2 linked regions of the Saccharomyces cerevisiae S288C genome follow. The gene in region 1 interacts genetically with each later gene. Each region holds a gene or a part of one and is shown in the gene's direction. Other genes may lie near its edges.

The links. A genetic interaction does not mean that the proteins touch.
Region 2: of YCH1 (region 1) and RDL2, changing one enhances a phenotype caused by changing the other (phenotypic enhancement), as found in Saccharomyces cerevisiae (one study listed by BioGRID).

Annotation. Positions count from the first base shown.
Region 1 is NC_001139.9:902,591-909,581, forward strand, and holds YCH1 (phosphatase YCH1), read left to right. Parts: upstream 1-2,646; coding exon 2,647-3,093; downstream 3,094-6,991. Other genes in the region: YGR201C (uncharacterized protein), read right to left, coding at 1-607; PCT1 (choline-phosphate cytidylyltransferase), read right to left, coding at 884-2,158; trifunctional formate-tetrahydrofolate ligase/methenyltetrahydrofolate cyclohydrolase/methylenetetrahydrofolate dehydrogenase ADE3, read left to right, coding at 3,344-6,184; YGR204C-A (uncharacterized protein), read right to left, coding at 6,471-6,584; TDA10 (putative ATP-dependent kinase), read left to right, coding at 6,623-6,991. UniProt on the Saccharomyces cerevisiae protein: Protein phosphatase.
Region 2 is NC_001147.6:848,558-851,229, forward strand, and holds RDL2 (thiosulfate sulfurtransferase RDL2), read left to right. Parts: upstream 1-1,722; coding exon 1,723-2,172; downstream 2,173-2,672. Other genes in the region: HUA2 (Hua2p), read left to right, coding at 1-652; thiosulfate sulfurtransferase RDL1, read left to right, coding at 1,078-1,497; rRNA-processing protein RRP36, read right to left, coding at 2,380-2,672. UniProt on the Saccharomyces cerevisiae protein: Thiosulfate sulfurtransferase which catalyzes the transfer of sulfane sulfur from thiosulfate to cyanide.

The DNA of each region.
Region 1 (6,991 bases):
TAATTACTCGATTAAACCAGCGCGTAACCTCTGGATGCTTAGACCTCCATGTTTCATCGAAAAAACTTATAAACCCTAGCGAAAAAGCAGCCGCTGAGATTAAATCAGCAAGAGTTTCGTGGTCATCACAGACAAGGTATTGCTGTTTCTTTAACCTTTTCTCGTAAAGCGAAACAATGGTGTCGACATTCTCTCTTGCGGCTTTGAATTCAGTGGCATTATATGGCTTTACGCCAATTAGAGGGAAAAACACCTCACAAACCTCATTCAAGAAATCACTGTTGGAAAGCGATTCCCATCTTAAAATATCTGCACGAGTTTTGAAGTCACCTTCGGGACCCAACAACTGGCGCACAGCTTCCTTGTCGCTCGACAGATGGATCAAGTAGTAGTCAATAGCCATTGCCTCTGTAAGCGTCCACTCGTCATGCGGTCCAACAAAAGTTGGGTACTTACGCAAGGGAAACTCCCTTTCGTAAAGTTGCTGAGCGTCACTTGGATCAGCAAGCTTAACGTCCAGCTTCAAGGAACGCACTAAACCTCTTGGCACAATGGTCCTAATCAACTTTCTCTCCTTCAAATCAGTAAACAGTGTTCCGTCAGACATTTGTAGTTTTCTACACAAAGATGCCGAAATCAATGATGAGCAAGTATCGAGTTCGCTTCGCACTGCTACATCTAGGCTTTTATAAGGGGTGGTATCGTTTAAAGGTGCGGCTATTAAAAGGGATGAATACGTGGGAAACGGTTGCATTACAGGAAAAACAGCTTTTTATCTTATTATATCTTTAAATATGTACATACGCTTGTTTATACGTGGAGGCGACAAAAAGGGTTGGTTGAAGGGAGAGAGAAAGAGACGCACAGAGATTGGAGGAGGGGCTCAGTTCGCTGATTGTTTCTTCTTCTGTGTTAGGTTTTCCAAAGTTAACCTGTCGTTGTCGTCGTCATCTTCACTGGGAGGCGTTGAGTTAGTGTTTGAATCTGAATCTGAATTTGTATTCGTGTTGTTAGAATTTGTGTCTTCATCATCTTCCTGACTGAAAAGATTTCCATTGTCATCCGGTGATTTAGCGGTAGAGTTTTCGCCCGTAAATTCGTTGGCAAACTCTGTAGCCGGAGAGGCCTCCCTGATTAGCTTCCTAGTAAACGGATCATCCAAAAAATTCTGTTTTCTTTGTCGTTGATTTTGTTTCTTTAATTCATTGCCTATTAACTTGGAGTAGAGTTTTTTGCCCAACGTTTTCTTTAGCAAGATTTCACGGACTTCGAAGTACAAGTCTCTGGAGGCGTTATTCAAATTTGTCTGGTTTTTCTTGAAATATGACCTGAATTCATTGATGTGTTTTTTGAACTCCAGTTCGTTTTTCTTCAACCAAGAAACGTTCAGCTCCTGTCTGGTAGCACCCCTTGCAAAGTTTCTCATCAAATATTTGTCATAATCTCTGATGATCTTTGTGATAATATCACTTGTAGAGACACCATTGGTTCTTTGGGTAGTCAAGAATTTTCCCATCTCCTTTATTGGCTTGTAGATATCGTCGCTGTCGGCGCTAACGTAAGGAATATCGTCATGTGCCACGTAGTCAATCTTGTGTTCTAGTAGAAATTCTGGGGTGACACACCAGGGAGCGTTGGGCACGACTTCGTCAACCCATCTGCAGTGCGTTAAAGTTTCACAACGCTGCTTATCGGTCAGCACAGTCAAACCTTTTAGTTTGTGAGTGATTTTGTCGCTAGGCACACCAACTATCAGTGTTACATTGGGGAAAGCCTTCTTACACTGTTCCAGTTGCTTCATGTGGCCAAGATGGAAAAGATCAAAAACACCATCTGCATATATCCTGATGGGTCTATCCGTTGGAGGCAAATTGAATCTGAAACCTTTAGGACGATACTTGCGCAGTTCCTTGGGCAACTCGTTGGTGTAACGAGCCTCCTTCTCTTCAAACTCCTTCGTCAACCGGCGACGCTTGCGGGGAGTGAGCTGTGTGTCCTTATTTTCATCCTGGTTCTTACTCTCATCCTTATCCTCATTGTCCTGCTCTTCCGTTTCCTCACGCTGTCTTTTATTTTTATTTTTTTTAAATAGGTTTGATAGCGATGAGTTAGAAAGCTTAGCCCTAATCGAGGACTTCCCTGTTGTTGGGTTTGCCATTTTTCTTTGTGTCTGCTGTGCTTTGTACTACCAAGAGAGAATAGCAAGAGTGAAATTTGAAAGTTAAACAATACAATAAAGAAAAGTGACTGGCGTATGCAAGAAAGGGGAATGGGTATAAAAAATACAAGAACGGCAGAAAAAATAAAAGAAACAGGAGAAACAAACAATGGTAACTGTACTAAAACCAATACCAGATATATATTTCATACTTATTAAAAAGCGTTAAGAAACGAAGCGTAAAAACGTAAGAAAAAGAATGACTATATAACGGTAGGTCTTCGACTCATTTTTTTCTTCCTACATGCAAACGACAAATACGGGTAATGCACATTTCGCTTATTGGGTTCTTCCCTTTCCTTTTTTCCATTTTTTTCTTTCTGGCTGTCGCTAGCCTTTCTACTTCCTCCGCACATACAGTTTTCAGCACAGTATAGATAGCTGTGCAGCCAGATAGAAGCAAAAGAGAAGTCAATTGCAAAAAAAATATGGACTCGTACTCAATAACAAACGTAAAATACCTGGATCCGACTGAATTGCATCGTTGGATGCAAGAAGGACACACTACTACGCTGAGGGAGCCTTTCCAGGTAGTGGATGTGCGAGGCTCAGATTATATGGGGGGCCATATCAAGGACGGATGGCACTACGCCTATTCGCGCCTTAAGCAGGATCCGGAGTACTTACGTGAGCTAAAGCACAGATTGTTGGAAAAGCAAGCGGACGGCCGCGGAGCGCTGAACGTGATTTTCCATTGTATGTTATCGCAGCAGCGCGGACCGTCTGCAGCGATGCTGCTGCTTCGGTCGCTTGACACGGCGGAACTTTCTCGCTGTCGTCTATGGGTGTTGCGTGGGGGGTTCTCGCGCTGGCAATCCGTATACGGTGACGACGAGAGCGTTACGGCGGGTTACCTACCCGATCTGTGGCGTTGACAGGTTTACACAATCGCACGTGATCATATATTTGCCATGACTCCTCCCAGTGACAATTTTGTTCTTTTTTCCTCTTTATCGCTTTCGTACTATGGTCAGTCATTCATTCATTATATACGCGCTCTCCATAACCCGTAACTTTTTATTATATATAGACTCGTTTACAATACAACGATAGCGATACCATTCAATTGAAGTTGTGAGACCAGGTAACGAGACGAACACAACTTTACAAGTCAAATAAGAAATCATGGCTGGTCAAGTGTTGGACGGCAAAGCATGCGCTCAGCAGTTTAGAAGCAATATTGCTAATGAAATCAAAAGCATTCAAGGTCACGTGCCTGGGTTTGCACCTAACCTTGCCATCATTCAAGTAGGCAACAGACCAGACTCAGCCACATATGTACGCATGAAGCGTAAGGCAGCTGAAGAGGCCGGCATTGTTGCTAATTTCATTCATTTAGATGAATCCGCTACTGAATTTGAAGTTCTGCGTTACGTGGACCAGCTGAATGAGGACCCACATACACACGGTATTATCGTGCAACTACCATTACCCGCTCATTTGGACGAGGATAGAATCACCTCGAGAGTGTTGGCAGAAAAGGACGTGGACGGGTTCGGGCCCACCAACATTGGCGAATTGAATAAGAAGAACGGACACCCATTCTTTTTGCCCTGCACGCCCAAGGGGATCATTGAGCTGCTTCACAAGGCCAACGTCACGATTGAAGGTTCCCGGTCCGTTGTGATCGGAAGATCTGACATTGTTGGCTCTCCTGTTGCAGAATTGTTAAAATCTCTAAACTCCACCGTCACCATCACTCATTCTAAAACCCGTGATATCGCATCATACTTACACGACGCGGACATCGTAGTCGTTGCCATCGGCCAACCAGAATTTGTGAAGGGTGAATGGTTCAAACCAAGAGACGGCACTTCCAGTGATAAGAAAACCGTGGTAATTGATGTTGGCACCAACTACGTTGCTGATCCTTCCAAAAAGTCCGGTTTCAAATGTGTTGGTGACGTTGAGTTCAATGAAGCAATCAAATACGTCCATCTAATCACTCCAGTGCCCGGTGGTGTGGGCCCCATGACGGTGGCTATGTTAATGCAAAATACCTTGATTGCTGCCAAACGCCAAATGGAAGAATCCTCGAAGCCTTTGCAGATTCCTCCCTTGCCATTGAAGTTGCTAACACCTGTTCCTTCCGATATAGACATCTCCAGAGCACAACAGCCAAAGCTTATCAACCAGCTTGCTCAAGAATTGGGTATTTACTCTCATGAGTTGGAGCTGTACGGACATTACAAGGCCAAAATTTCTCCTAAAGTCATCGAAAGGCTGCAGACGCGCCAAAATGGTAAGTACATCTTGGTGTCTGGTATCACACCAACACCACTGGGAGAGGGTAAATCCACTACAACAATGGGTCTTGTCCAGGCACTAACGGCTCACTTGGGCAAGCCAGCCATTGCGAACGTCAGACAACCCTCCCTAGGACCCACTTTAGGTGTCAAAGGTGGTGCTGCGGGTGGTGGTTATTCCCAAGTCATCCCAATGGACGAATTCAACTTACATTTGACTGGTGACATTCACGCCATTGGTGCGGCTAACAACCTACTTGCTGCCGCTATTGACACTAGAATGTTCCATGAGACCACTCAAAAGAACGACGCTACCTTCTACAACAGACTAGTGCCTAGAAAGAACGGAAAGAGAAAGTTTACTCCCTCCATGCAAAGAAGATTGAACAGACTGGGTATTCAAAAGACCAACCCCGATGATCTAACACCCGAAGAGATCAACAAATTCGCCAGATTGAACATTGACCCGGACACTATTACTATCAAGAGGGTGGTCGATATCAACGACAGAATGTTAAGACAAATCACCATTGGTCAAGCCCCTACCGAGAAGAACCACACAAGAGTTACTGGATTCGATATCACCGTTGCTTCTGAATTGATGGCTATTCTTGCTCTTTCAAAGGACTTGAGGGACATGAAGGAACGTATTGGAAGAGTCGTTGTTGCTGCTGACGTAAACAGGTCTCCAGTCACTGTTGAAGATGTGGGTTGTACCGGTGCCTTAACCGCTTTATTAAGAGACGCTATCAAGCCCAACTTGATGCAAACTTTAGAAGGTACTCCTGTCTTGGTCCATGCCGGCCCATTTGCCAACATCTCTATCGGTGCCTCTTCTGTTATTGCTGATCGCGTGGCTTTGAAATTGGTTGGTACCGAGCCAGAGGCAAAAACAGAAGCTGGTTATGTGGTTACTGAAGCAGGGTTCGATTTCACTATGGGTGGTGAAAGATTCTTCAACATCAAGTGCCGTTCCTCTGGATTGACACCTAATGCTGTGGTCTTGGTTGCTACTGTTAGGGCATTGAAGTCACACGGTGGTGCTCCAGATGTCAAACCTGGCCAACCTTTACCTTCCGCATACACTGAAGAGAATATCGAGTTTGTCGAAAAAGGTGCCGCTAACATGTGTAAACAAATTGCCAACATTAAGCAATTTGGCGTCCCCGTCGTTGTCGCAATTAACAAGTTTGAAACTGACACTGAAGGTGAAATAGCCGCCATTAGAAAAGCCGCTTTGGAAGCTGGTGCATTTGAAGCCGTAACCTCTAACCATTGGGCCGAAGGTGGTAAAGGTGCTATCGACTTGGCCAAGGCCGTCATCGAAGCTTCCAACCAACCAGTGGACTTCCATTTCCTATATGACGTTAACTCCTCCGTTGAAGACAAATTAACTACTATCGTTCAAAAGATGTACGGTGGTGCCGCAATCGATATCTTGCCTGAAGCACAACGCAAGATTGACATGTACAAGGAACAAGGTTTCGGTAACTTGCCAATTTGTATCGCCAAGACACAATACTCTTTATCCCACGATGCAACTTTGAAAGGTGTTCCAACCGGGTTCACTTTCCCCATCAGAGACGTCAGATTGTCTAATGGTGCTGGATACTTATACGCTCTTGCCGCCGAAATACAAACCATTCCTGGTTTGGCTACCTATGCTGGTTACATGGCCGTGGAAGTCGATGATGACGGTGAGATCGATGGCCTGTTCTAAGACAACTTAATTATATAGAATTTAATAAAGACAAATGCAAAAGTTTTTTTAAAGTATGGATGTATAATAATAATAACGATAATACGAACACTATTGGGACTAATAATGATTTATAGTTTTTTTTACACAGGGGATTTAACGTTCCGCGACCCTTTTTCCTTTAATTTAACCCCAGTTCCTTAACGTCGAAAATTTCCGATTCCGTTAAGGAGGAGAAAACCTAATTACCAAACGAAGCGGGGAGACGCATTAATGAGAACAATAAATGTATGAAACTTTTAGCAATCTAAATGATACTATACCAAGACAAGCGAACACTGGCTAGCACAATATTTGGGCGGAACGAAATAAAATAACGAAGATATACATAAGACACAAAGGAAAAAGCGTTCCATTGCATCTCTGAAGTGAATAATATAAAAAGTAGTAAAGCTAGAAATGTGTGATAAGTCAAAAACGGTATTGGACTACACGATAGAATTCTTGGATAAATATATACCTGAATGGTTTGAGACGGGAAATAAATGCCCCTTGTTCATTTTCTTCTCGGGCCCACAAGGCTCAGGCAAAAGTTTTACAAGTATCCAAATCTATAACCATTTGATGGAAAAATATGGGGGTGAAAAATCTATCGGTTACGCCTCAATTGATGATTTTTATTTAACTCACGAGGACCAATTGAAACTCAATGAGCAATTCAAGAACAATAAGCTGTTACAAGGACGTGGTTTACCAGGTACTCATGATATGAAATTGTTGCAAGAGGTATTGAACACCATCTTCAATAATAATGAACATCCGGATCAA
Region 2 (2,672 bases), on another chromosome or scaffold:
CGATCGTATTACATTGGGCTATAAAAAGAGATTGTCAATGATTGAAAATCAAATGCGACATCTTTTGGAGGATTTTAGTTTGGACGTTCAGCAGATTGAACCCATTCTTGCCGACTTGCAGAAGTACTACGACGCGTTTCTACAACTTTTACAGAAAAGGAACAAATCATTACAATGTAAGAGGTCCACTCACCAGCCGGTCCCATCCCCAATGAATAGCCAGACATCAACAAATGCAAAGGTTAATTTGAGCGGAAAGCTTATGAAGTTTCAGCTAAATAGTGTACAAAAGTTCGACGAAGAAAATATACTAAGGATTCTGCAAAATAAAATAGAATTCGAACATTATTTCCAAATTGATAAAGGTAAGAAGCAAAAGGTGCTATTACTTGCCGTATATCAATGCCTCAATGGGCCAACACGTTTGCATAAAGTGCTTAATATTGAGGGAATTATACATAATAATAGTATCAGAACTATACTGGGCAAACAAGTGTCCAGTTCTAAGTGGACAGTGTTTCTGTACGATGTAAAACTAGTTTTATTGGCGCATAGACAAGATGTTCCGAACTTAGAAACTAGCAAGATGATCGTCAGATATGGTGATTTATTTCCCTGTGCATTGTACTTCAAAGATCATACAGCATACTAAGCGCTTTCCAGGGACACCTTCTGTCGCAAAATATCAGAATTTTTCTTGATTAAACGCAGCATATTGAGTATATGAAATTAACGGGACACTGTGTGAAAAATTTGTAGTTGTACTTTTTTGTTATCCCCTTTGGTAGACATATGGACGAATTACTACTAAGATTGGCTTCCATAAGGCCCAAATCCAGATATCACCTACGGTATGTCCTTTTCCTACTTGCAATGACAAATAATTTGTTATTTATCTTGGAACCTATATAAGTTACATCTGATTGCTTTTGTATTTTTTTTGGAGAATATTATTACCCGCGGGGAAGGAAGTAAGGGGAGAATTTTTGAGGTGTATAAAAGAGAGTGGAGGCTTAATCAATCAAAGAATTCTTTCTCGTTTATTTTCAGGGTTTGTGACTAAGAAACGATATTAAAATGTGGAAGGCCGTGATGAATGCTTGGAATGGAACCGAGAGTCAAAGTAAGAATGTTTCAAATATTCAATCTTACAGTTTTGAAGACATGAAAAGAATCGTTGGAAAGCATGATCCTAATGTGGTTTTGGTAGATGTTAGAGAACCATCTGAGTACTCGATTGTTCATATTCCTGCTTCCATCAATGTGCCATATAGATCGCACCCTGACGCATTTGCCTTAGATCCTTTAGAATTTGAGAAACAGATTGGCATCCCAAAACCTGACAGTGCCAAGGAGCTAATATTTTATTGTGCTTCTGGCAAACGCGGGGGAGAAGCTCAAAAAGTCGCCTCCTCACATGGATATTCAAACACCTCACTATATCCTGGCTCTATGAATGATTGGGTTTCTCATGGGGGTGATAAACTTGACTTATAGCCTTGTATACTCTAGGTATGTACCCTGTGTATTTTCGTAAGCTAGTAACGTATTATGCCATTTATGTCACACCGTTCATAATATTTGCCTATTGCATTGGCTGTGATAGCGGCGGCGCAAAGAAATTAGGAAGTATAAAAAAAAAAATACAAAACTTAATCTGAATGGAATAAGATAGCGATAACTCTCAACAAATGGAAGCGAGACAGAAGAAAAAGACCAACGATGTTCAAGCATAGTACAGGTATTCTCTCGAGGACAGTTTCTGCAAGATCGCCTACATTGGTCCTGAGAACATTTACAACGAAGGCTCCAAAGATCTATACTTTTGACCAGGTCAGGAACCTAGTCGAACACCCCAATGATAAAAAACTATTGGTAGATGTAAGGGAACCCAAGGAAGTAAAGGATTACAAGATGCCAACTACAATAAATATTCCGGTGAATAGTGCCCCTGGCGCTCTTGGATTGCCCGAAAAGGAGTTTCACAAAGTTTTCCAATTTGCTAAACCACCTCACGATAAAGAATTGATTTTTCTTTGTGCGAAAGGAGTAAGAGCCAAAACTGCCGAAGAGTTGGCTCGATCTTATGGGTACGAAAACACTGGTATCTATCCTGGTTCTATTACTGAGTGGTTAGCTAAAGGTGGTGCTGACGTTAAGCCCAAAAAATAAGCCAAAAAGAAACAAGTATAATCGATATATCCTGTATATAGACAACCTTTTGTGTATTTCAAATTTTTTGTTGTCACCTCTCCGATTCATTCGATTTTCTCCTTGTGGTTCGCGGATAACCTCTTACTTCCATTAGTTTATGTGTGCGTTTATTTTTTTATCTTTCTCTATATATTACTTTAATGTGCATTCTTTTGCTTAAATACTCTACCTACGATTATGAAATTCAAATTGTTTAAACTCTTTACCCAATCTCTTCTTCCTTTTCCTTTCCATGACCTTTTCACGTTGCTTGGCCTTCATGTGATCAAATTTCCACTTTTGCACCACTTTACGTTTCTCAGACTTTTTCAAATGGTATCTCGTATTATTGTTTTTATTCATATCATTTTCGTATTCCTTGAGAATTTCACGCTCGAGATCTTTGTTTTTCATTGATTGCAATCTCGATTTCATACTTTTCAGTCTTTGTTCCATTTCTTCACGTTCTCCCTGGTCTA